Linked DNA regions of Sus scrofa. The protein of the gene in region 1 binds, or shares a complex with, the protein of each later gene. Links are inferred from orthologs where the notes say so. Each region holds a gene or a part of one and is shown in the gene's direction. Other genes may lie near its edges. The genes, in order: CASP8, RIPK3, RIPK1 and MEFV.

Evidence for each region.
Region 2: CASP8 (region 1) and RIPK3 share a complex: the UniProt entries of both Homo sapiens proteins name them as parts of the AIM2 PANoptosome complex. The link is inferred for Sus scrofa from reciprocal best matches to the Homo sapiens genes CASP8 and RIPK3.
Region 3: CASP8 (region 1) and RIPK1 share a complex: the UniProt entries of both Homo sapiens proteins name them as parts of the AIM2 PANoptosome complex. The link is inferred for Sus scrofa from reciprocal best matches to the Homo sapiens genes CASP8 and RIPK1.
Region 4: CASP8 (region 1) and MEFV share a complex: the UniProt entries of both Homo sapiens proteins name them as parts of the AIM2 PANoptosome complex. The link is inferred for Sus scrofa from reciprocal best matches to the Homo sapiens genes CASP8 and MEFV.

Annotation. Positions count from the first base shown.
Region 1 is NC_010457.5:104,935,050-104,942,293, forward strand, and holds part of CASP8 (caspase-8), read left to right. Parts: intron 1-408; coding exon 409-514; intron 515-1,356; coding exon 1,357-1,495; intron 1,496-1,875; coding exon 1,876-1,920; intron 1,921-2,908; coding exon 2,909-2,994; intron 2,995-5,357; coding exon 5,358-5,499; intron 5,500-7,244. UniProt on the Homo sapiens protein: Thiol protease that plays a key role in programmed cell death by acting as a molecular switch for apoptosis, necroptosis and pyroptosis, and is required to prevent tissue damage during embryonic development and adulthood.
Region 2 is NC_010449.5:74,948,633-74,956,397, forward strand, and holds RIPK3 (receptor-interacting serine/threonine-protein kinase 3), read left to right. Parts: upstream 1-2,512; 5' UTR 2,513-2,706; coding exon 2,707-2,726; intron 2,727-3,009; coding exon 3,010-3,150; intron 3,151-3,304; coding exon 3,305-3,614; intron 3,615-4,070; coding exon 4,071-4,216; intron 4,217-4,339; coding exon 4,340-4,386; intron 4,387-4,602; coding exon 4,603-4,770; intron 4,771-4,881; coding exon 4,882-4,967; intron 4,968-5,194; coding exon 5,195-5,557; intron 5,558-5,690; coding exon 5,691-5,751; intron 5,752-6,284; coding exon 6,285-6,424; 3' UTR 6,425-6,623; downstream 6,624-7,765. UniProt on the Homo sapiens protein: Serine/threonine-protein kinase that activates necroptosis and apoptosis, two parallel forms of cell death. Necroptosis, a programmed cell death process in response to death-inducing TNF-alpha family members, is triggered by RIPK3 following activation by ZBP1.
Region 3 is NC_010449.5:1,837,833-1,845,850, forward strand, and holds the start of RIPK1 (receptor-interacting serine/threonine-protein kinase 1), read left to right. Parts: upstream 1-3,310; 5' UTR 3,311-4,714; intron 4,715-5,227; 5' UTR 5,228-5,347; intron 5,348-8,018. UniProt on the Homo sapiens protein: Serine-threonine kinase which is a key regulator of TNF-mediated apoptosis, necroptosis and inflammatory pathways.
Region 4 is NC_010445.4:38,930,730-38,938,718, forward strand, and holds the start of MEFV (pyrin), read left to right. Parts: upstream 1-3,891; 5' UTR 3,892-3,958; coding exon 3,959-4,235; intron 4,236-6,306; coding exon 6,307-7,146; intron 7,147-7,989. UniProt on the Homo sapiens protein: Involved in the regulation of innate immunity and the inflammatory response in response to IFNG/IFN-gamma.

The DNA of each region.
Region 1 (7,244 bases):
CCCCTAACCTGGGGACTTTGACTTCATATATGGCAGGAGAGGCCCTAAAAAGCCAAAAAAAAAAAAAAAAAAAAAAGTGGGCTAATTGGGCATGAATCAGTAGTCTCAGTGTCAATACACCCCTTTCCAAGGACTAAACCTATAAATCAAGTCATTAGCTGGCTTTATTTTATTTTTACTTATCATTTTGGCTGCACTTGCAGCATGCAGAAGTTCCCAGGCCAGGGACTGATCCTGTGTCCCAGCAGTGACCACACCAGATCCTTAACCCACTGAGCCACCAGGGAACTCCCTAGCTAGCTAGCTTTTTAAAGTGAGCCATAGGAAACAAGTGCACTGGGACTCATGTATCAAATGGGAAATTATTGAAGAAAGTAGTTCTAAAAGTGATTCTGTTTCCCACTACAGGGTCATGCTTTTTCAGATTTCCGAAAATGTGACCAGGTCGGAATTGAAGGACTTTAAGTTTTTTTTGAGTCAGGAGATTGCCAAATGTAAACTGGATGATGACATGGTAAGACCTGGTGTCTCACCGAGATTTAGTCCTGAGGGTGAGTCAGCCAGTGGGGACTTCTGAGACCAAAGAGAATGTGAGTCGGTAAAAGTAACCTGAAGTCTCAATTTTTTATCAGGGGAGAACGTTGTCAGGCATGAGTGCTGTAGATGCATTGCCTTTGTATATTGTAAAGTGCTGCTCATATTAATTTTCAGGAACAAGGCAGGGTCTTGGGAAGCTAGGGTGGGCACTTGGTTTGGAGAAAGTGGCAGTGAAAAAAATGAATCTAAAAGCCAGTATGGGGGCAGTTCCTATTGTGGTGCAGTGGAAATGAATCCGACTAGTATTCGTGAGGATGTGTTTGATTCCTGGCCTCGCTCAGTGGTCCAGGATCCGCTGTTGCCGTGAGCTGTGGTATAGTTCGCAGACACAGCTCAGATCCCCCATCACTGTGGTGTAGGCCGGCAGCTGTAGCTCCGATTTGGCACCTAGCCTGGGAACCTCCATATGCTTTGGGTGGGGCCCTAAAAAGCAAATAAAAAATAAAAAAAAATAATAAAAAAAGCCATAATGGGGAGTTCCAGCTGTGGCTCAGTATCCATGAGGATGTGGGTTCAATCCCTGCCTTTGCTCAGTGGGTTAAGGATCTGACGTTGCTGTGAGCTGTGGTGTAGGTCGCAGCCACGGTTCGGAACCCACATTACTGTGTCTGCGGTGTAGGCCTGCGGCTACAGATCCAATTCGACCCCTAGCCTGGGGACTTCATATGCCGCAAAAAAAAGACAATAAATAAATAAATAAATAAATAAAAGCCAATATGGTTCCATCCAGTTTTCCAACTTTATATCTCCTCCCTCTAGACCTTGCTTGATATGTTTATAGAGATGGAGAAGAGGGCCATCCTAGGGGAAAGAAATTTGGAGACTCTGAAAAGAATCTGTGAACAAATCAACAAGGCCCTGCTGAAGAAAATCTGTGATTATGAAGAATTAAACAAAGGTAAAAATAACCTGACGGTGGAGTTCCTGTTGTGGCTCAGTAGGTTAGGAACCTGACTAGTATCCATGAGGATGCGGGTTCAATCCCTGGCCTCACTCAGTGTGTTAAGGATCTGGCATTCCTGCAAGCTGCAGCATAGATCACAGATACAGCTCGGATCTGGCGTAGTTGTGGCTGTGACGTAGGCCGGCAGCTGCAGCTCTACAGTTCCGAGCGTGGGCACTTCCGTACACTGGCGGTGCAGCCCTTAAAAGAAGAAAAAAAAAAAAAAAACCTAAGAGCTGTGAATCAGCAAATGGTAGTCATAAATTGATTGAGCCCTCTATGTCACAGCTGTTTCAAATCAAATGTTTGTTTGTTTGTTTGCTTTTAAACTTCAGATCGAAGAATGAGCCTTGAAAGTGCTTCGGATGAATTTTCAAATGGTAATGCTTGGAGATGTTTTCCAGGTTTCTTTAGTTTAATTTACCCCCTGAGAGCTTCATAGACCCAAGAGACCTGCTCTGCTAATAGCAGTGGCTACGTTGACACTTTCTCTGCAGGTTGGTAGATGTCGAAGCTGTCAAAAGACAGAGGCCCTGCAGCCCCAAGTTTGAAATGAGGGCAGTTGGTCAGTGATAAGATTTTCACTTACTCTGTGGACTGCATGGATATTATATTTAAGGCGGTTTGTGAATTCTCACTTTCAAAATGAAACGGACAGCACTAACGGCTGGAACCTAGCCAGACCACAGACTGGGACTTGAACCCATATGCCAGGACTTGAACCTGGCCTAAACCCAGATGGAGACTTGAACCCACGTTTTTAAATGAGCACTCACCTGATGTCTGGACTTGTGGAGGTTCAGGGTCTTTATGCCTCCTCGCAGAAGGAATTCAGCGAGAGACAAAGGGATAGGCAAGAAATAGATTGATTAGGACGGAACGCTTGTGAGAGATGCAAGCAGGCGGGCAAGAGGGTCTTCCCGGAGGATTAGGTAGGCTACAGTTTTATCATCCAAGGGGAGTGGGGGTTGGAAAAGCCCACCTCTTCCTTTTGGGGAGTAGCAGCTCCTCCTTGGTATCCTGTAAGGTGTGTATTCAAATCAGCAGAAGGGCGGTCCTCAAATTCCTGTCTTGGTCTGAATCTGAACGAAGGTCTCCTTCCATCCCCCACCCAATGACCTGAGGCAATTCTGAACTTCCTTCCACGAGCCGAGCAAGCCTGCCTTGCTCTGATGGCTTTTTTGAGCAATTTATTAACTCTCGGTGATCTCCCAGTGTCCCCTAGATTTCCCTCTCTATCTATGATTCTTTATTGGGACTTCTATAACTACCCGTGTCTACTCCATCCCTATCAAAAGGGACCTTACGTTGTCCCGAGTGCCATGTCCCTCCTTACCAAAGGAACTTCCCTGCCGTGTCTCTTTCCAGATATGTCTCAACTGGTGATCCAGGAGGGGTCCCTGGGAGAGCTGGCCATGTCGGACTGTCTGGGAGAACAGGACAGTGATTCAGAGGTATCTTCCCGTCGCCTTTTCCCTTTGCGCTGCAGATACTATTTATCGGATTCCTGAGCATTTTTAGCTTCCAGATAAAACTGAACAGCTCTTTGGTTTCCTGTGTATTAAGTTTCTATTTCTATTGGAATAGTTGGAGGACAGAGGGGTAGGGAGCCTCTAACCTCGTCTTTCGGCAGCTGCATCAGCCTCAAGGGCAGAGAGCTTTGGGGGGAAAGATGAGCAGGATTGGAAAAAAGTTGTCTTTTTTTTTTTTTTTTTTTTTTTTTTTTTTTTTTTTAGCTTGGCATTTAAAAACTGATTCTCCTTCGTGATTAGGTGTAAGCAGCAAAATGCTCATGATCCAAGTGTCTCTATGTTCTCATCCGGGTGAGCTGGCCCAAGAATTGCCTTTCCAGATATAATCACTTCTGTTTCTACAGCCTTCAACAATTGACCGCATCCTGACTCACCAGTCCATTCACTTCTCTCTGTGGCGGGAAGCAGAGGAAACCCTATATGCTAGAAGTCTAGTGGGAGACTTTTTTTTTTCTTTCTTTCTTTTTTTTTTTTTTTGCCTTTTTGCCTTTTCTAGGGCCACTCCCTTGGCATATGAAAGTTCCAGGCTAGGGACCCAATCGGAGCTGTAGCCAACCTACGCTGAAGCCACAGCAACACGGGATCCGAGCCGAGTCTGCGACCTACACCACAGCTCACGGCAACGCTGGATCCTTAACCCACTGAGCAAGGCCAGGGATCGAACCTGCAATCTCATGGTTCCTAGTTGGATTCGTTGACCACTGAGCCACGATGGGAACTCCCTGTAGTGGGAGACTTCTAATTAAGCTTGAGAGAGACCATTTATTTATTTATTTATTTATTTTTTTGTCTTTTTTGTTGTTGTTGTTGTTGTTGTTGTTGCTATTTCTTGGGCCGATTCCACGGCATATGGAGGTTCCCAGGCTAGGGGTTGAATCGGACCACCGGCCTACGCCAGAGCCACAGCAACGCGGGATCCGAGCCGCGTCTGCGACCTACACCACAGCTCACAGCAACGCCGGATCGTTAACCCACTGAGCAAGGGCAGGGACCGAACCCGCAACCTCATGGTTCCTGGTCGGATTCGTTAACCACTGCGCCACGACGGGAACTCCGAGAGAGACCATTTATTAGCGGGCTCCTGAGCAAATTACCAGACCTCTCTCAGTCTGAACATCAAGAATTAACCAAAGTCACGCGGCACTTGGTGAACAGTGAAGCACTCTGCAAGCGTCTTGCCCATCCATCAGCTAATGCTACCGAGTGCAAGAGAGATCATGTAACTTGTCCAAAGTCTTAAGGTTATTAAATAGTAGAGCCAGGAATTTGGCCCCCTAGCCTGGGGCCCTTTTCTCTGCCTCCAGAAACTGCACGGATTTCCCAATAAATGTTAACTACCTTAGTTTAGCACTGAAACAGCCCTGGAAAAGTTAGGAGGTCACCGCCTCTCCTCTGACTGATACTGTCAAGTGCTGGAGTCTAGATACTATAACCTGTAGCACAGCCAAGACCTGCGACTGGCACATCTCTATCCTCCTGTCCCTGTGATCCTCAGAAGTGGATTAAGCCGTCAGCTTTAAAAATCCTGGGGCCATGTTGTGTGACGGGCAGGCCCTCAGCTGTTAGCCCAGAAACCTGGATGAGTTGAGCAGAGAGCCAGGGGGATCACAAGGTCACAAAGTGGCAGCTCAGAGACAGCATGAGGACACCCATATGTCCAGCAACTCCTGCCCAATTAGAAATATATCCTAGTCCCTGGCATAGATGTCCTCTGCTTTGAGAAGAAAGGAGAATGAATAATACCAACACGGGAGTTCCTGTTGTGGCTCAGTGGGTTAAGAACCCAACATTGTATCCGTGAGGATTCGGGTTTGACCCCTGGCTTTGTTCAGTGGGTTAAGGATCTGGCGTTGCAGCAAGCTGTGGTCGTAGATGCAGCTCAGTTCCGGTGCTGCTGTGGCCTAGCCTCAGATGCAGCTCTACCCCTGGCCCAGGAACTTCCATGTGCCTCAGGTGTGGCTGGAAAAAGAAAAAAAAAAAAAAAAATCATACCAATACAGTGTGATGACAACACTATTCATAAATATGCTCAGGAAACCTGAGTGTGGGACACTGCTGTTCCACACTAACTGGGGGGCAGAAGTCTGGGGATCTTGGTGGGTGGGAATGAGTGGAAACTAGTTCCTTGGGGGAGAAGTGCCAAGTTGGGGCGGGGCTGTGAAAAGTGCACTCGGATCCCAGTTTAGCTGAGGACATGCCTCCGCTCTTACCTGGGGTTGTTTGTTCACATCTCAAGTGTTGGACCCACAGAGTCAGCTCCTGAGTTGGAGTTTTTTGTTTTCCAGGCATCAGAAGCAGTTTACCGAATGAAAAGCAAGCCTCGGGGATACTGTTTGATCTTCAACAATTATGATTTTAGTGTAGCACGGAAGAATATAGCCAGACTTCACAACATTAAGGATAGAAATGGAACAGACTTGGATGCAGGTACAGAAGAACCCAAAAGGGAAGGGAAATATTTCTAACACTTATGTTTTTATCAAAAGGCAAGAATAAAAGCTGAATCAACAGGGCCACAGGTTTTAAAAAAGATAGATAAAAAAACAAAACAAAACAAAACAAAAACAGAGTTCCCGTCGTGGGGCAGCCAAAATGAATCTGACTAGGAACAGTGAGGTTGAGGGTTCGATCCCTGGCCTGGCTCAGTGGGTTAAGGATCTGGCCATGAGCTGTGGTGTAGGTCACAGACACAGCTCGGATCCTGCATTGCTGTGGCTGTGGCACAGGCTGGCAGCTGTATTTCTGATTCAGCCCCTAGCCTGGGAACCTCCATGTGCCTCGGGTGTGGCCCTAAAAAGCAAAAAAAAAAAAAAAAAAAAAAAAAAAAGATGGATATAACCACATTTCCCTGTGGAAGTGAAGAACATTCATATGTATTTTCCAGTTTTCTGCTTTTTTTTTTGAAGTAATTTTTAAAATCAAAGTGATGTATATATAAACATAAAATATCAAATCTTACTAAGAGGTTTATAAAATGCAATGATAAGCTTTTTTATTTGTTTTTTTGTTTTCTTTTTTGGCCACACTCATGGCACTTGGAAGTTCCTGGGCCAGGGATTGAATCCGAGCTGCAGCTCGCCACCAAATCACCACCAAGAGAAATTCCAATGACTTTTTTTTTTTTTTTTGCTGGGGGTGGGGGCACACCGATGGCATATGGAGTTTCCCAGGCTAGGGGTTGAATTGCAGCTGTAGCTGCTGGCCTACACCACAGCCACAGCAACGCAGGATCCGAGACGAATCTTTGACCTACACCATAGCTCATGGCAATGCCGGATCCTTTAACCCCTTGAGCAAGGCCAGGGATCGAACCTGCGTCCTCATGGATGCTAGTCAGATTCATTAACTGCTGAGCCATGACGGGGAACTCCTCCAGTGAGCTTTTTTAAAATAAAGTTCAGAAAGTTAAGATAGGTTGATTTTATTTGGTATTTTTCTTTTTTTTTTTTTTTCTTTTTGCCATTTCTTGGGCCGCTCTCGCTGCAGATGGAGTTTCCCAGGTTAGGGGTCGAATCGGAGCTGTAGCCACTGGCCTACGCCAGAGCCACAGCAACGCAGGATCCGAGCCGCGTCTGTGACCTACACCACAGCTCACGGCAATGCCGAAACCTTGACCCACTGAGCAAGGCCAGGGACCGAACCCGCAACCTCATGGTTCCTAGTCGGATTCGTTAACCACTGCGCCACGACGGGAACTCCTATTTGGTATTTTTCTATTTTGGCCCCCCTGAGACATATGGAGTTCCCAGGCTAGGGGCCAAAGATCAGATCCAAGCCAAAGTTTCGACTGTGGCAACGATGAATCCTTTAACCCACTGTGTGGGGCTGGGGATCGAATTTGTGTCCTGGTGCTACAGAAATCCTGCCAATCCCATTGTGCCACAGTGGGAACTTCAAGATAGGCTGATTTTATTTATTTTATTTTTTTATTTTTTTGTCTTTTTGCCTCTTCTAGGTCTGTTTCCTGCGGCATATGGAGGTTCCCAGGCTAGAGGTCTATCGGAGCTGTGGCCACCGGCCTACACCAGAGCCACAGCAACATGGGATCCGAGCCGAGTCTGCGACCTACACCACAGCTCACAGCAACGCTGGATCCTCAACCCACTGAGCAAGGGCAGGGACCGAACCCGCAACCTCATGGTTCCTAGTCGGATTCGTTAACCACTGCGCCA
Region 2 (7,765 bases), on another chromosome or scaffold:
TTTTTTTTTCAGATCCATCTTTTAGTACACTTTCTTCAGCTATATCTTCTGCATTGCAGTTTTAATTTTAACGGATGGGCACATATAATTTTTTTTATTTCTTGATATTCTGTTTTTTCCCTAAGTCTAGTTGGACATTTTTATAATCTCTTATTTCATGCTAATTTTTTTTCTATTCCATCTTTTATTTCTTTAAACATTTCGCAATAACTTCTTTAGAGTCTTCATCTGATTGTCCCAAACTCTGAAATCCTTAAAGATTTAAACCCGTTGATGGGAGTTCCCATCGTGGCTCAGTGGTTAACGAATCTGACTAGGAACCATGAGGTTGCAGGTTCGATCCCTGGCCTCGCTCAGTGGGTTATGGACCCAGCCTTGCTGTGGCTCTGGCAAAGGCTGGTGGCTACAGCTCCGATTAGACTCCTAGCCTGGAAACCTCCACATGCCACCAGTGCAGCCCTAGAAAAGACGACCAAAAAAAAAAAAAAAAATGCCAAGAGAGTTCAAAATTTACGGGGCCCTGAGGTCCAAGCTAAGGAGCAAGTGGAGGCCTGGAAGATTGTAGCTATGCCCAAGGCAGGCAGATAAACACAATAACACCTTTATGGCTTGAAGGTGTATGAACAGCACCTCAGCCTGTACACCTACCTGCACCTGCAGCTCAGAATGGACCCCTAGCCTGGAAACTTCCATATGCTGCAAGTGCAGCCCTAAAAAGAAAAAAAAAAAAATCCTAAATAGTTTGCAAATAGCATGGACTGACGTCACTAGAATTCATGATGTAGATCCCGGAGTTCCAGTTGCTCTAGAAACCTCAGTTAAACGCTGGCCACTTTTGCTCCAACTAACAGAGCCCATGAACCACTGGACAGAATGGAAAGTTCATACCAAGGTGAGCACCGTCCTGTGAGAGCTGGCCCATGACCCACAGGGTTGGGTCTCCTGTAAAGGAATGAAAGCCCAAGACTAGCCATATCTAGCTCTACAACCTCCAGCTATTGTCAGGCTTTGGGCAGGTAATCTATGGACACCTTTTATCTACTCTAAATCCTTAAGGTTCCCCCAAGCTCCTGAGTTCTCCAAGGCCCTTGTCCAGAGCACATGCTTGTCAGGAATATTTATTAACCAGAGAATTTTCCCTGAGGAATTGCTGCAGGAGGAGAGGGCAGGCAGGCTCTGAGGTGTTCCACTGCAGTGTACACCACCAAGTCAGCAATTCTTTTTGCTGGGTCAATTCCTCTCGCTGACCACAATGCCCTAGGAGTGGGTCTTGGTCTTGCCAGCAGACAAATCACCACCAGTGGCAGGAATACATACAGGGACTCCCACTACACTGCTGGATGCTTCATACCTTCCTCAGACACCTTCACGACCAGCTGAAGCTTATATGAATATAGCAAAGTTTGATGGTTCAGAGAACCCTCCTGCACTGCTGGTGAGAAATTAAGCTGGTACAGCCACTACGGAGAACAGTATGGAGGTACCTTAGAAATCTATACATAGAACTTCCATATGACCCAGCAGTCCCACTCTTGGGCATATATCTGGACAAAACTTTCCTTAAAAAAGGCACAGGCACCCATATGTTCATTATAGCACTATTCACAATAGCCAAGACATGGAAACAACCCAAATGTCCACTGACAGACAATTGGATTAGGAAGATGTGGTATATATACACAATGGAATACTACTCAGCCATAAAAAAGAACAACATAATGCCATTTGCAGCAACATGGATGGAACTAGAGACTCTCATACTGAGTGAAATAAGTCAGAAAGAGAAAGACAAATACCACATGATATCACTTATAACTGGAATCTAATATACAGCACAAATGAATCTTTCCACAGAAAAGAAAATCATAGAATTGGAGAATAGACTTGTGGCTGCCAGGGGGAGGGATGGGAGGAGGAGGAGGGATCAAGAGCTTGGGGTTAATCTATGCAAACTATTGCTCTTGGAATGGATTTACAATGAGATCCTGCTGTGTAGCATTGAGAACTATATCTAGATACATCACAACACAACAATGGGAGGGAAAAGTATGTATACATGTATGTTAACTTGTACCCCACGCTGTACAGTGGAAAATAAATAAATAAATAAATAAGTACTTATCCCCTTAGAGTTGACATGCGAATTAAATAGCTAATATATGTACATGGCGTGTGGTGCGCTTTAGAAATGTGTTAGCTCTGACCTTAGGGCAGCTGTAGGAGAGCTGAGTCCTAGGCCCCTAACATGCTCCTCAGCACTGAATCCTCAGCACCAGCAGGCTTGGTGGTTGAGCTAGGAATCCTGCGGAAGAAGGAAACGACACCATTTGTAGGAGGCTGTTGATTATATGTTCCTGGAAAGTGAGGACGCCTTCTGTGGCGATCTAAAAAGGGGCAACTAACCCGGAAGCAGCACGTTCTGAAAACCACTTGCTTCCTTTCTGCACCCCGCCCGCATCCCCGTCCCGGTCTCCCCGCCCCCGTCCGTCCCCCCCCCCCCCCCCCGCCCCCAAGGGCAGGACTGCAGAGGCCTCCGTCAAAGAGGAAGTCGGTCTGGCTGAGTAGAGAGAACAACCTGGGGAGCCGGGAAGCGGATTCCGGGAAGCGGAGTCTGTGACGGGGCTTGGAGATTGATTCCTCTCCCAGCGCCGCCCCCCTTTCCGTGTGGGCTCTCAACTTCCAGAACCCTCTGCACCTACCAACTTGATGTCCGGCGTTAAGTTATGGTGAGTAAAGAGTGAGATATGGATCTGGAGCCACCCCCCCACCACACACACACACACACACACACACACACACACACACACACAATAGGCACCCCGCGGGCTCACTCAGGGGATGCCACCCACCCATGTGCCAAGGCCCCGGGGCATAGTGGGTTTCACGGGGGAGGCTGGGGATTGAACTGACCATATGCAGTCATGGGGGTCACGGGGATGGGGTGGCATGGGGAACAGCAGTGCTGACTTGGGGGTCATGGCCAGCTGATGACCAGGCCTCCTCTCACAGGCACGTTGGTGCTTCAGCGCCCCTGGTGCCCATCGAGGACTTGGAGAACCCGAAGTTCATCGGCAAAGGAGGATTTGGCACGGTCTTCCGGGCGCAGCACAAGACTTGGGGTTTAGACGTGGCGGTCAAGATCGTTAACTCGTGAGTGACCCAAGCTGCTGGCAGCTGGTGCCAGCCAGGTGTTTGGTGGAGAAGGCAGGCCGCTGTAACTCAGGGCCAGGGTGGGAAAGGGAAGGGTCTACCCAGAAGCTGAGCAACTTCTCAGAAGCAGACTCCAACTCTCTTCTGATTGCAGGCAGGCGATATCCAGGGAGGTGAAGGCCATGGCAGGTCTGCATAACAGCTATGTGCTGCTCCTGCTGGGGATCACAGAGAAGCTGGAGTGGGACTATGTATCTGGGCCGGCTCTGGTGACTCAGTTCATGGAGAATGGTTCCCTGGCGGAGCTGCTACAGCCCCAGTGCCCTCGTCCCTGGCCGCTTCTCTGCCGCCTGCTCCAGGAGTTGGTGCTCGGGATGTGCTACCTGCACAGCCAGGACCCTGTGCTCCTCCATCGGGACCTCAAACCCTCCAACGTCCTGCTAGACTCAGAGCTCCATGCCAAGGTCAGCGCATCCCCGCCCCAGCCCAACCTCTGGACAAAATCCTGCTCCAGAGCTGCTCCAGCTCCACTCACTGGACATGAGACCTATCTGCTGCAGCCCAGGATACCCTCAGCAACTCCCTCTGGATATAGGGCTGCCATCCAGGAGCTTTAGCTGCTGCCATACCAGGTGATAGAGGCCTTGACCAACATGGTCAGTTCCACTGTGTTAGAACCCACTAGGACCTCCAAACACCCATGGCTAACCTAGCTTAGGAGGCTCAAATCTTGACCCAGCCCCATGGAGAGAGGACCCAGACCTCCAACCAAGGGCCCCACTTGTCCTACCACTTCTCTAACCCTCCACACCCCCTTTCCAGGGCTGGACCTAAACATTCTATGGGGTAGTGGGAAGAAAGTTCTGGAGGCTGCCTGGCCCTATCCATCCGTATCTCTTCCTTCTTATCTCCCTTTGCAGCTAGCAGACTTTGGCCTGTCCACATTTCAGGGAGGTTCACAGTCAAGGGCAGAATCTGGGGAATCAGGTTGCACCCCAGCCTACTTGGCCCCAGAACTGCTGGCTGATATAAACCGAAAGGCCTCCATGGCCAGTGATGTCTACAGGTAAGGTACCCACTCCACATACACATCCCAATTTCTACACCTCTCTGGGTCCTTCTGAGGGACAATATATGGAAGGGAGTCTTGCCAGCAGTTGGGTCAGGCCTCAGCTTTTGTCTCCTGCAGCTTTGGGATCCTGATGTGGGCGGTGCTAGCCGGAAGAGAAGCTGAGGGTAAGACTCCAGGCAGACTCTGGGATCCCGAATCTCAGGTGTCCCCCTCCTCCAAGCCCCCACCCCCCCAAGCTCTCCTCTTCCTATTGACCTGCTCACACTGCCCTACTCCCTCCTCACCTCTCCTTGGACTGTACTCCCTGCCCCTTTCCATGATGGGCAGGTGGCCCTCACTCTCTGAATGCCTTCTCTCCACGTCCCCCACCCCCTCCCCAGTGGCGACCCAGATATCACTGGTGCGGGAAGCAGTGTGTGAAAGGCACGTCCGACCCCCATTGGATGAACTGCCCCAGTCTGGCCCTGAGAATCCTGGTTTGGAAGGACTGAAGGATTTAATGCAGCGCTGCTGGAGCCATGACCCCCGGAATAGGCCCTCCTTCCAAGGTGCGCTGGCCATTTAGTTGGCAGCTGAGGTAGGCCTGGGTCTGTCCGCAGGGGGCTCTTCCCTGATAATGAAGCTATGCTCACCCACCACCCATTCTGCCTTCTCTCCAGACTGCCGACCCAACACCCAGGGAGCCCTCGATCTGGTAATGAAACAAGATGTAACTTGTAAGAAGATGAATGCCGCGGTCTCCACAGTGAGTGTCTAGCACCCCTAGGAGCTGGGCAGGGAAGGCACAGCATGGCTTCCTTGGCCACCCAATGACTCCCCGCTGACTGTTGTTCTCTAAGCCTTGACTCTCATGCCCACTCCCCCCAACCCATCCCTGAGTTCCCAGGCAATGGACATGGGCCAAGAGGCTCCTCCCTTGGGTTAACCCTGGCTCTCCCACCTCCATGCCCAACCAGCTCTCCATCCTTACAGGTGAAGGAGTTCTTGTCTGAGCACAAGAGCAGCAGCAGCTTGTTGTCTGTCCGTGAGCCAGGCCTGGAAAGTCCAGAAATGGATGGCCTTAGGGGGAGCACAGGAAGCCATGATTCTGTGGTCTCTGAAATGATGAACAGCCTGAACCTGGAGGAGTACCCCAGCTCTGTTCCTGAAAAATGTACAAACCCTCCTGAGAGGATCAGGGCCCAGAAAGAGCAGGTTCAGCCTACCTGGACAGCAGAGATACCTTCAGATTCAACAGCCCAACCTCCTCAAACCCCAGAGACCTTACCTTTCATGAGCCAGAAGCCCAGCCACACCTCAGCTTGGCCCCCAGGCCCTGGACCCCAAGAGAATCAGGTGAGACCTTGGCAGGACTCAAGGATGCACTAGGACTCCTGTGAATCCTGTCCCCTTGCCAGGGAAAACTTGGGGCTGCAGTAGGGGAACAGGCCCAGGGACAGGGAGCCTGATGGCACTGTGTTGTCTGTAGGGGCCTGAAAGACGTGGCACCAACTGGTCTCCCATGGCACCAGGGCCAAATCCAATATCAGGTACCCATTCCCCATTCCCTCCTTTCCTCTGCTCAATTCTTCCACCAGCTTCTTCCTCAAGATCAAATATAGATCCAGGGTACTTGGGGAGGGGGATGAGAAAGGGCTAGAGGTCACCTACCCCAACTTTCTCATCTTATAAATGAAGAAACTGGGATTGGGTCCCACTTAGGTCACACAGCAAAGCCTGGATTTGCCCCTGAGCCTTCTGACTTTCCAGCTCTGTGAACCTCTAAATTCCATTGCTGCTATGTAGGCCCAGAGGGCCACCCAGCAGAAAAGACCCAAATGTCAGCGTCTCAGATGTTCGTTGCCACTCCTCTTGAGCTTCTGCAAACCCAATTCTGAAACCCGAAAGGGAAGACCCAAGGCACTCCTTGACACAGTCGTGGGCAGGCCCAGAGACTGCCTACTTGCATTTCCCCAGGGTGAACACAAGGTGCCGCTGCCCCCCACCCTGCCGCTCCTCCTCGCTTAGACTCTCAGATCTGTACCCTTTAACCCTCCCTCGAGCATCACTGTTTCTCTTAAAGGGCCATGGTCTTCTCAGTTACTTTACAACCAAGGGGTGCAGATTGGAAACAGCAACTACATGGTTATAAAAGGAAGAACTGCCTCATCCACGCGGGGCCCGGTACCTTGGGGCATGAAGAAGGGCCCCCAGCACAAGTAGCTTTCAAACAACTAGAAAGAAGGACTGCAAGAAACGGAAGCCTGGAGTGGGCCACAGGGCTGGTATCATGATAGCAGTATCAAAGCAGCTTCTGAACTGCCTTCTGGAAAACCCAGCATTCTCTGAGGGTCATTAGGCCTGTACCCGAACTGTCTTTGTTCCCCCAGGACTCAATAAACTTGGTGGAATTTTAGCCCAAGCACTGTACAGGAGGCTAAAGCTTCAGCCAGGGGAGGGAAAGGGACATGGATGAGAGACCGGGGAGCTGACATCGAGGGAGTGGGAGGTACTGCCCTTCAACCACAACCACGGACCACAACCAACCGGAAGCAGGATGCTGGGAATGGGCAATGTTGTGGCACACAAGGTCAAGGCCCAGCCGGTGGCAGGAAGGAATCCTGGAGGCCTATCTCCTGGGGCTGCTCTAATCTCAGGGCAAAGCATTTCCTGTAGGGCAGGTCAAGACCCCACCCCAAACCAAACCCTGGATGTAGAGGCTGTGGCCCAGCCACCCACCTTTTCTTGTGGGCTATGGAGGCTTGGCAGTGGGGTCCTGGGGAGGGGGTTCTCCATGGGAACTCGCAGTCCCCAGCACATCTTTGCCCTGCACGATGCCCCTAGTCTCTCACAGGTCAGCCTCCATATTACCACTCCCTCCCCCAGGTACACCCACGCACACATTGCTGTAACACGGAGGCCTCAGAACCCTTTGATTCCCTGCTGGTGTCTAGGAGTGGAGAGCAATGGCTCCACAAAGCTACACACACACCCCTCCCTTGGAGTTGGACATCACTGGAGCATGGACCGGTCAGATGGGGCCACAGCACTGCCACCCAGTCTGGAGGGGCAGGGAATGAGCAGCCCTCTCATCTTGACCTAGACTTTAGCTCCCATACAGCACCATGTGCTTCTTCCCTGCATTTTTGCCAGTCTTCCTTCCAGCCCTCCCTCAGTCTCCCCACATCCAAGGTTCTGAGTCCATTTTGATACTGGCCCAGCACCCCCATGGTCTGCATTCTCATTCCTTGAAGGGGTTGATGGGAGGAGGCCCTGGTGCTGGGAGAGACAATCAGACTGGGGGAGGAGGCCTGTGGAGTCTGGCTAGGGCACAGGAAGGGCCGGGCTGTCCCATCAGGGAAGTGGGAGGGGGCTGAGGCGCCGGGAGGGAAGCGCCTGTGGCCCAGGGCTCAGAGCTACCAGCCCAGAGACAGGCGTGACTCCAGAACCTGCCCTGGGGTTAGTCCGTTCAGCTGCGGCAGCATCGTGGGCAGTGAGTTGAGGGAAAGAGGGAACCTGGGGCTCCTTTGCTTCCACCCCAACTCCCCTGCCCCTGGTGCTGAG
Region 3 (8,018 bases), on another chromosome or scaffold:
AAACCAAAATCCTCCCAGTTTTCTTTGATTATGCAAGGAGCCCAGACATTGGAAAAGAGATTGTCACCAGTGCAAAGGCTTTAGGTACCTCTGCCCTCTAAGCAGCCTCTCCAGTGCTCTCCCCATCTTCAGTGACATCTTAAAGAGCCCAATGAACCACTCCAGGTCTGGCAAACAAATGTCTTACAATTTCCTCCACCTCGTGGCTATTTTAGTCATGGTCTGCGTGTTTTTCCACTGGACTGAAGTCTTCCCCTGTAGTCAGGCTACTCCCTTTTTTTTTGGTTAAAGTTCTTTTGGGAAAGAATACCCCTATCTGGAAAACTCTTCTTGCGGTTCACAGTGATCAAGGGACCCGTTTTACTGGTGAAGAACCTCAGCAAGTGTGCTCTGTATGGCCAGTTGTGCAACACCGTAGCTGCAGTTACACCCTCAGTGCTCTGGTTTACCTGACTGTGCTAATGGTGCCCTTATAACTCAGCTGGCAACATTTGCAAAGGTTTCTAAATACTTTGGCCAAAAGCATTGCCGTTGGTCCTTCTGAATCTTCGATCCACTTCTTATATTCATAAACTCTCACGGTCTGAGATAGTCATAGGACACACGTTATGCTTGGCGCCTGCCTCTTTTGACCCAGGAGTGCTATGCATTGTTCCACTATCATAAAGATCTAATTACTTCAACCAAAAATAACCATGATTTTGTAGTCTTTCCAGTGTCTCCAGGGAAATGAAGACCTTAAGCCTCACACCTGCAACCAGTAGATTTTATCTGTGGGAGTAAGACACCTCCAAACTCTTCAACCTTATTGGAAAGGCCCTATCAGGTACTGCTAACCAACCCTTGTGCCACCACACTCCAAAGAACTGACTCTTGGACTCACATGACACAATTACATTTAAGAGCCAAAGCCTGACTGGACCTGTACAGCATCTGGCGACCTAAAGGTAAAGATTTCCCAGAATTGAAGCAGATGGCATCTGATGAGTCAGCTTTCCCAAGATAACTGGACCAGGCGTGTTGGGAGTTTGTTGCCAAAGCTTTGACAACACAGCACTTCAGATGATCTCCAGCGTCTCTGATCTTGGTAACATATGAACTTTGGGTGAAAAGTGCCTGACAGCTCTCATACTCCTCCTTCTTACTCCAGTGTAACCTCTGCATGTTTGCAATCTGTGTCCTTTCCCACTGATGGGAGATAGGAAAGGGCTTTCCTGACACTGGGGTACAGAAAAGCCACTGACACCAAAAAAATCTCATGCTTGAATGGAGATGCTTTCAGAGAAAGATCTTGATCAAAGGGGGAAATGTAAAAATCAAATGAACAAAGAACAAAAACCTTAAATAGAGGAGGCCAGAAGGGGGAGTTCTCATACCTGCAACAGCAGCAGAGAGGCCAAGAGGAAGAAAAAACACCTCTTCTCTCCAGGCAACTCAACCAGTGAAAAGCTACAGACTTTTTTTTTTTTTTCCCCACTGTACAGCAAGGGGATCAAGTTATCCTTACATGTATACACTACAATTACATTTTTTTCCCCACCCTTTGTTCTGTTGCAACATGAGTATCTAGACAAAGTTCTCAATGCTATTCAGCAGGATCTCCTTGTAAATCTATTCTAAATTGTGTCTGATAAGCCCAAGCTCCCTATCCCTCCCACTCCCTCCCCCTCCCATCAGGCAGCCACAAGTCTTTTCTCCAAGTCCATGATTTTCTTTTCTGAGGAGATGTTCATTTGTGCTGGATGTTAGATTCCAGTTATAAGTGATAGCATATGGTATTTGTCTTTGTCTTTCTGGCTCATTTCACTCAGGATGACATTCTCTAGTTCCATCCATGTTGCTGCAAATGGCATTATGTCATTCTTTTTTATGGCTGAGTAGTATTCCATTGTGTATGTATACCACCTCTTCCGAATCCAATCATCTGTCAATGGACATTTAGGTTGTTTCCATGTCCTGGCTCTTGTGAATAGTGCCGCAATGAACATGCAAGTGCATGTGTCTCTTTTAAGTAGAGCTTTGTCCGGATAGATGCCCAAGAGTGGGATTGCAGGGTCATATGGAAGTTCTATGTATAGATTTCTAAGGTATCTCCAAACTGTTCTCCATAGTGGCTGTACCAGTTTACATTCCCACCAACAGTGCAGGAGGGTTCCCTTTTCTCCACAGCCCCTCCAGCACTTGGTATTTGTGGATTTATTAATGATGGCCATTCTGACTGGTGTGAGGTGATATCTCATGGTAGTTTTGATTTGCATCTTTTTTTTTTTTTAAACTATAGCCCTCCTAACTTCCTCTGTCCCCATAAAAGTGTCCTCCTCTCCATTTTTGCTGGGGCTTTGCACACAGCTTCCTACAGTTGCAGACCCTGAAATGCAATCCTTTGTGGATCATGAATAAACCTTTTTTTTGAGAAATAGTTGGCAGTCTATTTTAAGTCAATAGGATGTACTGGTATCTCATTGCTGTTTAAAATCACAGTTTCTGGAGTTCTCTCGTGGCACAGCAGGTTAAGAGCCCAGCATTGTGACTGCAGTGGCTCAGGTTGCTTTAATGACATGGGGTCTATCCCAGGCCCAGGAACTTCCACATGCTGCTTGAGTGCAGCCAAAATAAATAAATGAATAAGAAGAAATTCATAATTTCCTAGTGACTTCTAATATTGACCATCTTTTCACATGCCATCTATATGGTAAAGTGACTGTTCAGATCTTTTGCCCATTTTCTTACTGCGATGTTCCTTTTCTTAGGTTTTTACTTCATTTTGGGTAATACTGTTTTAATATATGTGCTTTTTCTTAGTTTGTGGCATCTCATTCTCTTGATGTATGTACCGTTTTACAGTATGTTATCACGCTGTGTATAAGCTTTTTAACGTAACACTAGAGCAAGTATTTCCCATTTTGCTTGAGACTTCCCAATTATCATTGCAAAAGACTGCAAAATAAATACCTTGCTCTTCTACTCTAAAATCCAGAGTAGATTTTATTATCCTCGCTGTACAGGTGAGGGAGATGAGAGCATGATAATTGCCTATAGTTCCAGCGCCGCTGACCCGCGGAGCTGAGAACTCCCCTGGGGCTGCATGCCCCACCTGGGAGGTTTCTAAGAGTGGTTTCTAAGACTCCGCGCACTTCCTCTCCGGGCCTCCGGACTCGCTCTGAAACGCAGCAAAGCCGCGACATCTGGCTGGGCGCACTCCAGGTTCCGAAAGCTGTCCAGGAGGCCCGGCCGGCGGCGGGGCGGGCGCTCGGCTCGCCCTCCTCCGGGGCAGGGGCAGGGGCAGAAGGCGGAGCGAGCAGTCCACGCCCTCCTCCGGCCGAGCTCACTCAGTCGGCGCGCAGGCGACGGGGACACCGGATCGGCTTTCTGGAGCGCCGGTCCCGGCGGGCCCACTCCGCGAGGGCCGGAGCGCGCCGACCCACGGGGCAGCAGGCGGCGGACGGCGGGCTCGCGCAGCCGGGGGCGGGGAGCGCGGGGCCGCCCCGCCGGTGTCGCAGCCGACGGCTCAGCCCGCGGCGACCCTCGTCAGGCTCCGCGCCGGCGACGCTGCCGGGCGTCGGGGCAATCCTGGACTGCCCCCGCCGCCTCGTCCTCCACCCGGCCCCGGCCCCCGCCTCGGCCTCGGGAAGCTGCCCGCGGAAGCGAAAGCGAATCCTTCGGTGGGTCTGCGCTGGGAACCCGGACCGCGGTCAGGTTCCCCGAACGGCTTCCGCCCAGGGCGGGGCTCCCGCTTCCGGCGCGCGGGCGGCGGGCGGGCGACCGCGTTCCGGACGGACGGGGCGGCGGGCCGGTCAGGTGGTGAGCGTGGCCGTCGGCGTTCCCGGAAGTCAGGCTGTGGGCGTGGCCCGCGACCTCGTTCCGGGCGGCGGGGTTCTCCGCGGGTCGGACCAGGGACGCGGGTCCGGCGACGGGTGCTGGGCGCGGCCCGCGGCGCTCCCGGGGTCTGGCGGTGGGCGTGGCCCAGGCCTTCCCGGAAGTCGGCCGGCGGTCCGCGCGGGGTGGGCGTGGCCCAGGCGTTCCCGGAAGTCGGGCGCGGGCCGGTTACCTGGCCGCAGCGCGGCGGCTCCCCGCTGGCGGGTGGTTTCGGTCTGGCGGTCCGAGGGCGGAGCCCTGCCTCCCCTGTGATGTTGGAACCAACCGACGCCGTTCCCGCTGTCGAGCTGGTGGGGGAGGTGGGGTTTCACGGCGGTGTCATTGAGCCCGGCCTCCTTACCGCCCTTCGGAAGGACCTTCGCCTGGGGCCTGGGGCCGCCGCGGCTCGCGGGACGGGGGCGTTTCCGCGTAGCCTCGGCCGGGAGCCGGCAAGTGGGAGAGAAGGGTCCACAGCGACGAAGGGGCAGGATGTCGTAACCCCAGGAGGCCTCGTCCGTGGCCAGTGGCGTTTGCTCTTACCAAGCGCTCCACGACCTCGTCGGAGTTTTTGAAGAGGGCGAGCTAAGTTCTTCTTCCCTGAGCCGTGGACAAAACCCCGCCGGAGGCGTGGTGGTTGGTTGTCTCGGCCTGTTGCTGATCGTTTGGCAGCTCCTTGCTCAGAGCTCTTGTGTATCTTGGACAAAGCCTGAAGCCTTTGCACTCAACCAACTTTGCCGAAGTTCTTCGGTCTTTAGACCACTGTTCTTACCCCAAGTTTTACACTCGGAGAAATCAAGGCAGGAGTGAACTTGGCCCTGTAGAGTGACTTCGTGCTTGATCTGCATTTTGTAACCATCAGGTAGGTGCAAAAGAAAGGGAGACAGTCGTGGTCAGTTATACGTGCGGGGAAGGGCAGCTCTTCCAGACAGTAAAGGTGAAGACTGAGTTCGTTCAAAATAAAATGATGGGGTACAGCGGCAGCGTCATTAGTTATCACTGACGAGGCAGCAGTAACGCTTTTAACTTGTCTCCATTTTCCTCTGCGGCACGTTGTACTTGGAGGATTGGGGACATCCGGGAGAGTGAAGAAAAAGTCCCTAAACATCGAGTTCGGAAATCGCCAATTTCCGATTGGGGCTTATTAATCCGCGACACTGTTGATACGGCCAGTGTGATCGGGGAATTTGAAAAAACACAAAGCTTCCCACGCTCTGGTTGGATGTTATTCTCCGGCAAAAATGATCGTGTTATAACCTGCAGAAAGCTGATCTGGAACCACACACTTTGATGTGTGTGTTTCTCAGGGGTGAGCAAGTTTGTGAGATGAGGTTCTTGCACGTGATTTTAACAAAGGTTATGGTTTGCTCCCTAGAGAAGAAGCATGTATGTGTTAGCGGAAGTTTGAGTGGAGAGAGGAAAGACTCTGCCGTGTTAGAGGCATCATTCAACTCCAGGAGTTACTGCCTTTACCGTTAGGCCGCAGTGTCCTAAGGTACCTGGGGAGGCTGGCTGGAACGCTTCCTGTCATTCTGTCTTACTTATCATTGGGATGTTCCTTGCTCGGAGCTCTTGTTTATCTGGGGCAAAGCCTCAAGGGGTTATAAGCAAAGAACCCTTGGACACTTGAGTCAAATCAGAGTACTGTCAGCAGGGAAAGGAGGGCAGCGATGGGCAGCATTTTCCGTCAGACTCATTACCTACGGTCATCATTGTAAAATGGAGAAAATACTCCTTCCCACTTAAAGGTGACTATGAGTATTTGGAGTCGCTTTTTAAAATGTTTACATAGAAAAGTGCACAGGGCCTAACTGCTCTCTTGCGCATCGCAGAGGGAACCTGACCAAGTAAGACACTGCTGCCCGCAATCCCTCGAACCTCGTGTCAGTTAGAGCCTCCTGGTCCCCCCCGCCCCCGCCCCCCGGGAGCCACTCTCCCGACTGTTAGGGTCATAGATCAGTTTTGTTGGCGTTTTGGTGTTATTATTTATTATTAACAATTCACATGTCCCCCCAGCTTTACTGAGGTATAGTGAGAAACAAAATGGAATATAGCTATAAATATTTTGATACCTAGACCTGTCGTGCCTTTGAAGGTCATTAGTGAAGTTTCAGTTAACTTCAGTGGAAAAGATTGCTTTCCTGAGTCCCTGAATTAAATACACTTATGCAGGAGTTCCCGTCACCAGTGCTGCAGAAACCACCTAGAAACCATGAGGTTGAGGGTTTGATCCCTGGCCTCGCTCAAGTGGGTTAAGGATCCGGCGTTGCCATGAGCTGTGGTGTAGGTCGCAGAGGCGGCTCCCATCTGGTGGTGGTGTAGCTGTGGTGTAGGCTGGTGGCTACAGCTCGGATTGGACCCCTAGCCTGGGAACCTCTGTATGCTGTGGGTGCGGCCCTAAAAAACAAACAAACAAAAATATACTTATGCAGAAATCTTAAGAAACCCCATTAAATGAGATATATTCACGTTCTTGTGGAAATTAGTTAATCGCAAGTTGACAACTGGCCGGCTGGCTTTTATTGACCCCTCTGTAACGGGCTTTATCGTCTGGTTTTCTGCCTGCATTGTGTTTTTGTGACTCTTGGGTTTCTAAATCACTCACACACAATCCTTCCTAAATTATTCAGTGTTTATAAAGTTGAATCATTCAAGAGGAAACGGGGGGCGGGGGCAACAGTACAATCTCAAGAAATCATTGGACAGCATGCAAAGGAGCAGAAGTTAGGTCAGACCAGCCTCAACCAGCAAACCGCAGCCCGAGGAGAACCAGCCCAGGTCGGGAGCCGCCCCCACCGAGCGCATCCTGCCTGCAGGGGGTGCTACAAGTCCCCGCTGGTCTTGGTGGCTCTGAGGAGCCAAGATCTGGGCTGAAGGAGAGAGAGCAGCTGGAACCTCATCCTCCTGAATCCTGACACCCCGCTGGGCCTCTTTCAAGGCATGGGTGTAATTCCTTTCTGTTTCTTTACTCGGTCTGTGAGCCTTTTGTAATATTACTAAACATGCATACCCTACCACCATTTTTGAAAACTGCTGGATGTATTTCATGGTGCGAATTGGCCGTATAACTTACTCTCCCTTATTCTGCGCACGTCAGTTGTTTTCTGTTCTTTTGCTGTTCTTCGTAGTGTTACCGGGAGCATCTTTGTGCATAATCTATGCCAGCACCTGATTCCTTAGAATAAAGAACTGCACAGTGAAGGAATTATTTCCTTTAAAACAGATCTGTCGGAGTTCTCCTGTGGTGTATAGGATCCAGTGTTGTTCCTGCAGCGGCTTAGGTAGCTGCTGTGGGGCAGGTTTGATCCCTGGCCCAGGAACGCCCATATGACGTGGGTGAGGCCAAAAAATTCATTACGAAGATAATTCATGTTTATTGTAGAAAACTTGGAAAATGTAGTAAAAGTGTAGAGAAGAAAGAATCACCCAACCATCCAAATAAAATTCCTGCTCACCCGTCAGGGTCTTTCTCTGTATCTTTTCTCCTGGGCCTGTGTCTGTCGGTCTGCCCACCCATCCACCCTGTCATGCACTGGCTGTATAGTGGTACAGCTTGTGAATATGCTTGAATCCGCTTAACTCTAGTCTTTATCTTTGAACAATTCTAGTTCTTTTTTTGGTCTTTTTGCCTTTTCTTGATCTGCTCCCATGGCACATGGAAGTTCCCAGGCTAGGGGTTGAATCAGAGCTTTAGCCACCGGCCTACACCACAGCCACAGCAACTCGGGATCTGAGCCGTGTCTGCGATCCACACCACAGCTCAAGGCAACACTGGATCCCCAACCCACTGGGCAAGGCCAGGGATCGAACCCTCAACCTCATGGTTCCTAGTCGGATTCGTTAACCACTGCGCCACGACGGGAACTGCCAGTAGTTCTTTTTTTTTAAGACACGAGCTCATTTGGTGACCAGCTGCCATGTGTCAGTTTCTGTGCCGGGCGCTGTAGACGGCCTCACACAGTTTCCTGTTTTCTGTGAGCTTAATTGAAGGAACCCTGCGCAGGAGGAAATGGCATTTCTGAGGCCAGAAGGAGGAGCAGCTTCTGGCCCGGAGAGGGAAGTGTCCCCGCAGGGCTTATGGGGGGAACGATCAAAAACTCTGTCCCCCCGCCCCCCAAGACGGGTCAGCAGAGAGCTGCTTGAGAAGAGGGACCCCGGCTGCGCAC
Region 4 (7,989 bases), on another chromosome or scaffold:
AAACTGCCTTTCAAGAAGTCCGTGTCTCAGAATAGCCCCTGTTGCAAGAAGTGTCACTGAAATTGCCAAACATCCTGCTGTGAACTGGAAAGCCCCGCTTCTTGCCCGATTCTGTCAGAGGTGCCTTAGTCTTAGCTCAGAGGAGTTTCCTGGCCAGTCTGGACAGCGTCAGAGATCCCAGGAACACAAAGGCATGTGCAAGGCATTGTGCAATTTCATCATTTCTGCCTCAGCAGAGGGAGGCTGACTTCCTGAATCCTGTACAGGTCCTGGTCCCAAAGAAACCCCAGGTAACACCCTCTGGCCCAACCTGAGAATTTCCCACATCTGATGTTTCCACCGTAAAGGTGCATTTGGGTGCATCCATTTTTTAGGGAAGATGTCGGCTTTGGCTGTTATTTTCTTAGCAGAAAACTGGATGTTGTCAGCTGTTAAACACCAAACACTGAATCCTCTGTAAAGCATGTAGATCAATCGGACATTAAACTAAATTCAACCAACTAGAAGTCATGGAAGGCTTGATCCTAGGTTGGCCATACACAGGGCTGTTTGTTCAGTCAGGCATCCGAATGTTGTAGCTGACCTGTGGAAGCGGTCAGCATGACCCATTTTGAGCCTTGTTGGTCATCTGAAAAGGTGACCTCCATGGTTAGTGATGAGTAAAATTCAGTTTCATCACGCAGGGAGGCAGTATTACAAGGTGGTTAATAGAGGGTGTTTGAACCCTGGCCCCGGGCAAGTCTCTAAGCCACTAAGCCAGGGATGATGGATGCTGCACCGAAGGGGGACTGCAGAGATTTCAGGGAATAATGGATAGAAAGCAAGCTGAGCTGTGCCTGGCACAGAGGAAGCACTTTTGAAGGCTGAGTGTATCACTGGCAAAACATCTGTCAGCCAACATTTCCTGAAAAAGAAAGTTTAAACCAGGATGTGCACATGATGCCAACTAAGTGACAGAAGTTCCACCATTTTGCAACCACCACTGTAGCAACTGATTTGGGAAGGGATCATCCAGGAATTCTAATAGCAGCGGGTGAAAGACCATAGAGGCTGAGACATTTCTACACAGCCAGGTTAGTTATTAATTACAAAGACAAAAGGGACCTTTTACAATGGAGAGATCTTAAGGATGCAGGGATGTGCCCTCAGTCTAATAAGGAAGGAAGAATCACACAAATGTGCACTGAAGGACATTTAGCAGACTTTTCAAAACCATTAATGTCTTGAAAGAATTTTAAAAGAACGAAAAAATTTTTAAAAATTCAGGAGTTCCCATCATGGCTCACCAGAAATGAATCTGACTAGTATCCATGAGGACATAGGTTCGATTCCTGGCCTCGCTCAGTGGGTGAAGGATCAGATGTTGCTATGAGCTGTGGTGTAGGTGGCAGACACGGCTCAGATCCCACGTGGCTGTGGCTGTGGCTGCGGCGTAGGCCAGTGGCTACAGCTCTGATGCGACCTCTAGCCTGGAAACCTCCATATGCCACAGGAGCGGCCCTAGGAAGACAAAAAAAAATTTTTTTAACTAAAAAAAATTTTAAAAAATTCTTTAGGTGCGACCCTAAAAAATTAATTAATTTTAAAGGCCAGGGGGATGTGAAAGTGTTCTAGATAAAAGGAGACTTACAGAGACATGACAACTAAAAGCAATGTGTGCCATCTGATTGGATCCTTGTTTGGAAAAAAAAGCCATCAGAGACATTATCAGAACAATTGAGCAATTCGATTATGGACAGGTTGTAGTATTACAAAAACATTAAAGTTCCTCAGTGTATTAATAGTGTTGTGATTATTTAAAATAATATCTGGGAGTTCCCTGGTGCCTCAGCAGGTTAAGGATCCAGTGTCACTGCTGTGGTTCCGGTCGCTGCTGTGGCATGGTTATGATCCCTGGCTTGGGTACTTCTGTGCATCACAGATGCAACCCCCCAAAATAAAAGAAAATTTAAAAATTGATATCCAGGCATACTTATTCTTAGTATTTAGGGTATCTAGGGTATTTGGGTGATATCTTTTTTTTTTCCTTCTGCTCTTTAGGCATATGGAGGTTCCCAGGCTAGGGGTCCAATTGGAGCCATAGCTGCTGGCCTACAGCACAGCCACAGCAACGCCAGATCCAAGCCGCATCTGCAACCTACACCACAGCTCACAACAACATCGGGTCCTTAACCCACTGAGCGAGGCCAGGGATTGAAACCACAACCTCATGGTTCCTAGTCGGACTCATTTCCACTGCGCCATAATGGGAACTCCTGGAGTGATATCTGATATGTTTTAAATTTATTACCAAATGCTTCAGAAAAAAAAGAGAAGTGAAAGCATGTGTGTGTGTGTGTGTGTGTGTGTGTGTGTGTGTGTGTGAGAGAGAGAGAGAGAGACAGAGAATCACCAAACATTATAAAATGTAAACAGCTGGTGATCCTAGGATAAAGGGTATATAAGGGTTCACTGTACTATGCTTTCAACTTTTCTGTGGATTTGAAATTTTTTTTTTTCTTGTCCTTTTAGGGCTGCACCCTTGGCCTATGGAGATTCCCAGGCTAGGGGTTGAATCGGAGCTGCAGCCGCCAGTCTATGCCGCAGCCACAGCAACACAGAATCCGAGCCACATCTGCGACCTACACCACAGCTCATGGCAACACTGGATCCTTAACTCACTGAGTGAGGCCAGGGATCAAACCTTCATCCTCATGGATACTATTCGGGTTCATTTCTGCCAAGCCACAACTGGGAAATCCTGACATTTTTGGAAACAAAATGTCGGGGTAAAAATCAGTGCAGAAAGACGGAGCAGTCAACCAAGGAAGAAGTCAGCCCCCACCCCACACACAACACTTAGCTTCGGAGCCACCGCTGGGGCCCCACACTGGGCTGCGAGCTCTGCCGGATGCCTGTGCGGTTTTTCAGCCCTGTTTCTCTGGCATCCTGGCCCAGGGTCCCAGACACATGCTCAGTAGATGTGCAGGGACAAGAGCGCCCCCTCCGAGGCCTGGGGCTAGGAAGCTGCGGCAGAGGTAGCGCTGGGACAAACAAATCAGGATGGTGGGCCCAGGCCTGTGGCATTTTGAGGCATTCGTGTTGCTGGAAGAACCAGACAACCAGAACAACATTCAAGGGGGAGATAACAGGGCTGGTTTCTGGGCGGTGCCCTTCCAGCCTCACCTGCCTCCTTGGGTTGTACCTGCGGCTCCCCATTCCCCGCTCCACAAAGTCCCAAGAGTCTGCAGGGGAACAGCTGGCCGGAGAAGCTGACTTTCATCATGCTCCTCTCCAGCATGGGACCAGGGGCTCTGTTCCCCCCACTGTACCCCTGTATCCTGGGAGAAGCCAGGGAAGCATCACCATACCTCTCCCAAGATCAAGAACCTGGAATCCAGGAGTTCCTGTGGTGGCCCAGCCGGTTAAGAACCCCAAAGAGTGGCCCTGAGGATATGGATTCGATCCCTGGCTTCACTCAGTGGGTTCAGGATCTGGCACTGCGGCAAGCTGCGGTGTAGGTCACAGATGTGGCCTGGAACCAGGGTTACTGCGACTGAGGTGCAGGCCCGCAGCTGCAGCTCTGACTCAACCCTTAGCCCAGGAAATTCCATATGCCAAGGGTCTAGGCATAAAAAGGAAAGAAAAAAAAAAAAAAAAAACCTGGACTCCAATTCCAGACCCTCCAAGACTTACCCACCGCTCTGCAATCCATCTCAGCCAGTGAGAGCTCAGGTGCCGGCCACCTGTCTGACGGGGCGTGGAGCTCTCCCAGCTGGAAAAGCCTCTGCATCTGTAAGAGAACCCAAGCCAGCCATGACATGCTCATGGCCTTAGTCTCAGTTCCCACCAAAACGGAGAGCATTTCCTGTGCCTTTTCCGTTATTTCACAAGCTACCTCTTCTCACTCACCCTCGGGGCTCCAGGGCAGAGAGCTCAGAAGACAGACAGCTGCCTCCAGGCTCTCCTGGGCCACGCTATGGCCAAGACCCCCAGTGACCATCTGCTCTACTCCCTGGAAGAGCTGGTGCCCTATGACTTTGAGAAGTTCAAGTTCAAGCTACAGAACACCAGCCTGGAGAAGGAACACTCCCGGATCCCCCGGGGCCAACTCCAAACAGCCCAGCCAGTGAAGCTGGCCATGCTACTGGTCACCCACTATGGGGAGGACTATGCTGTGCAACTGACCCTACAGGTCCTGAGGGCCATCAACCAGCATCTCCTGGCAGAGGAGCTCCACAGGGCAATCAGCCCAGGTAAGTGGCCCCATGCCCCCGCAACTTGCTGGCTGCTGGCGGGGTGGGGTGGAAGGCGCAAGAGGGAACTGATGTTTGGACCAGGGCGTCTTGAGTCCAAGGTCTGCCACAACCCTGGTGACTTGAGCCAAGGAAGTGCTTACCCCTCTCTGGTTTTTGGAGGAAAGGTAAGGCTCCCAATGGCTTAACAAACAAAACAAAACAAAACAAAACCCAGAAGGCTGAGGTTCTGACTCTGGAGTGGGATCAGGAGAGGCAGGAGTGGCTGCCCGTTGGTAGAGGCGCCTCGCTTCATTTGTGATTAGCACTCACCCGGAGAGGAACAGCTTTGTTTGGATGATCACAGGGTTGATGGATGAACAGCAGGGTTGATGGGTAATCTCAGTGGTACCCCCTGAATTTCTGCTCTCAGTTCTTCTTTAACGCATGTTACAAAGGTATTTTAAAATTCTCAAAAGGACTCTCTTCTTTCTTTTTCCTTGCTTCCTTTCCTCTTTTGCCTCTTTCCTTCTCTCTCTCTTCCTTTCTTCCTTCATTTCCTGCATCTTTTCTTTCTTTCCTTTTTTCCATCCTTATCTTCCTTCTGCTACTGTTTTGCTGCAACTTTCTGATTTTATGACATTGTAATCAAAGAATGTGGCCAAGTGGTTCCTGTTTTTAAAGACTTTTTTTTTTTGGAGATGGGGGTGCTAAGACATGATTAGTTTAAAAAATTATTCTTTCATATTTGAATTTTTCTTACATTTCTAGACTTTTAAGAATACATCAGGAATACTTTATATGTGCTTCTATGAGGCAGAAGACTTTACATAACATAGAAATTCTCTGCTCTTTGAAAGAGTGATAAAACTAAAGCGTAATCTGAGTCTGGTGTAACCTGATGAGTAGAATTTTTAAGTTAATTTTTTGTATTTTAAAATCTGGTTATTAGCATTTTCATGGTTTCTTACCAGTTCTGGATCCCGTCTGGGTAACATGTTTTCCTAGACACCCAACAGCAAAATGTTTAAGCAACTTTAAATTCTAAGTATTTTTCAAACCAAAAATTAAGGTGCTAATTACAGGTTATTTTCATTTCCTTATTAAAGTAGTTTGAAAACCGTATCCCGGGAAGATATTTCACAGGTTATTTAGACTGTTACCAAATACCTAATTCAGATGTTGTTGTTTTAACTTATGAAACAAATTCATATTAAAATGTATATTAACCAAATTTTAAATACTGGAGGCCATCAGTGTGAAAGTTCGTGCTACACTTGAACTTTTTATGGAGACCCTGGAATTCAGCCTTTCTCGTTGTGTCTGTTTAATTAAACAGTATTCTGAAATTTCTATGCAAGCTGTATTTAACAAAAATTACTATGACGCTTGTCCGAGTTAAGGTTTTCTTTGCCTCATGATACCAAAGGGGAAAAAAACCCAGAAACAAATTAGCTTCTGAAGTTTTAACTGTCCTTCATAACCCCTGATTTCAAATTTGTGTGCCAATCTTTACTGATGGATTTTGTAAGTGGGTTTTGTACGTCGATAAACCACACACGAATGCATACCAATAAACAAATGTTTTCACTTACGCGTTAAGAATTCTTAGCAAGACCTAGGTTTCCCGCCTACAAAAGTTTGAAAAGGGAGTTCCCGTCGTGGCGCAGTGGTTAACGAATCCGACTAGGAACCATGAGGTTGCGGGTTCAATCTCTGCTCTTGCTCAGTGGGTTAAGGATCTGGCGTTGCCGTGAACTGTGGTGTAGGTTGCAGACGCGGCTCGGATCCCACGTTGCTGTGGCTCTGGCGTAGGCCAGTGGCTACAGCTCCGATTGGACCCCTAGCCTGGGAACCTCCATATGCCGCGGGAGCGGCCCAAGAAATAGCAAAAAGACAGAAAAAAAAAAAAGTTTGAAAAGCACTATTTCAGAAGACAGCAAATAATTAGTATGTTTTTATGTAATAGTAACTGACTGCCGACGTCTAGAATGTCCTGAACGTCCCTCATTTCAGGGGGAATTGTCTCTTCTCTCCCCTTCCCCACACCTTGACCCCGAGACTCTTCATGCCTTTTTATCTGTCTTTTCAGAATATCAGATACAAGAAAATGACACAGACAGTTCAGCAACGTCATGCTCCTCTAGGGAGATTAAGCCCAAAAGCCTGAAGATACTGGATGGCCTGGAAGGTGACAAGCAGCGACAGAGCAGTGACGGGGCTGGCTGCCCACCATCCATGCAGCCTGAGGCTGGCAAGGGGCCCCAGAAGAAGCCCCAGGTCAAACGGAGAGATCAGAAAGGCCCTGAGGGCCTAGATGCACAGAGCAAGCCAGGGGCCCGGAACATGACCACGTCTTCCAAGAGAAGCCCACTCCCTAGCAAGCCCCAGGGGGAGAAGGGGAGCAAGCCCGGTGTCAGCCTCCGCAGAAATGCCAGCTCTGCAGGAAGGCTCCAGGGCCTGGCCGGGGGCTCGCTGGCTGGGTCCCTGGGAAGGAGAGAATTTAAGATCTCTGAAGCCTATTTACCCACAGGAAAGAAGCGACCCAAAAGTCTTGAACTGACCATTTCTCCCGGAGAGATAGAATCCCTTCATCCAGAAACACTTCTGCTTCAAGAGAAAATGGGAAGTGAGAATCCAGGCTCAGCAGCCACCCCCAGTGAGATGGCCACTCTGAATGTGTGTGCTCCTGTGGCTCCAGAGAAAGGCTCCAGGAATCTGGAACATTCCATGACCCTGCAGGGGGGTGCACTCAGGAATACACTGTCCAACATATCGTTGGCTGCAAAGAAGAAGACGTGGGAGCGCCCAGAATCCACAGCACCTCCAGAGAAGAAAGGAACTGAGGCTCCAGAGAGCTCCAGGACTGTGGAGGAGGTGGCAGGCGGTGTGCTCCATGTACCTTCAAATCCGAAAGGCCCTCTGTCTTCAGGTAAGAAAGGACCTCAGAATCCAGGAGACTCAGCATCCTTGGGCATAATGACCTGTGCGGGTTTCCCCTATAAACCTCTGTTTATCCCCATTGTGTTTATTCCACTGGACCCCTGGGTGCCCCTTGAGGTCCTCAGCCCTTTGAGAATTTGATGTAGGCTCTGAATCCTGAAAAAAAAAAAAAGTGCACATGCACATCTTCAGGAGATGCTGCCTCCATTTCGGTTAGTTCTCTGTTTTGGGCTGTGCCTGTAGCAAGCGGATGTTCCTGGGCCAGGCATCAAACCCACACCACAGCAGGGACACCACCAGATCCTTTCCGTTAGTTAGTTCTTAGATACACTGATGTCCTTCTTAAGACTTCCCAAGGGCTTCGTGGACTCCAGGTTGAGCATCTGGAAAAGACTGGGTGGAAAGATCACCCTCTCACAATACCCCACGGTAGTATGTCGTGGGGCTGAGATCTTGCCATTGGCCTCTCCGGGCAAGGAGGGAGCTGTTGGCTAAACTCCTTGGGTCTCTTTTACTCAAGAGGCAGAAATTAGGGTTATGATGGGTTGACAGAAGTGCCAAAATAATGTAAGTGAAACAAGTCTGAAGTTTGTCCCCCCTCCATGTAAATGACACATAGGTGGTCCAGGATAAATGTGGTACCCTGTGGCCAGGAACCCAAGCTCCTGCCCTTTTTCTGCTCCACAGAGTTTGCTCTCAAGTTCATGGTCTCCAAGAGCAGCGTCCGCATTCTGGGCAGCGGGATGGAGGCACAAGGGAGAAGACGATCACTCAGGGAAGGTTTTCTCCAGTTTGCAGACACTGCTCATGGTGCCTCTACTTATTCACGTCC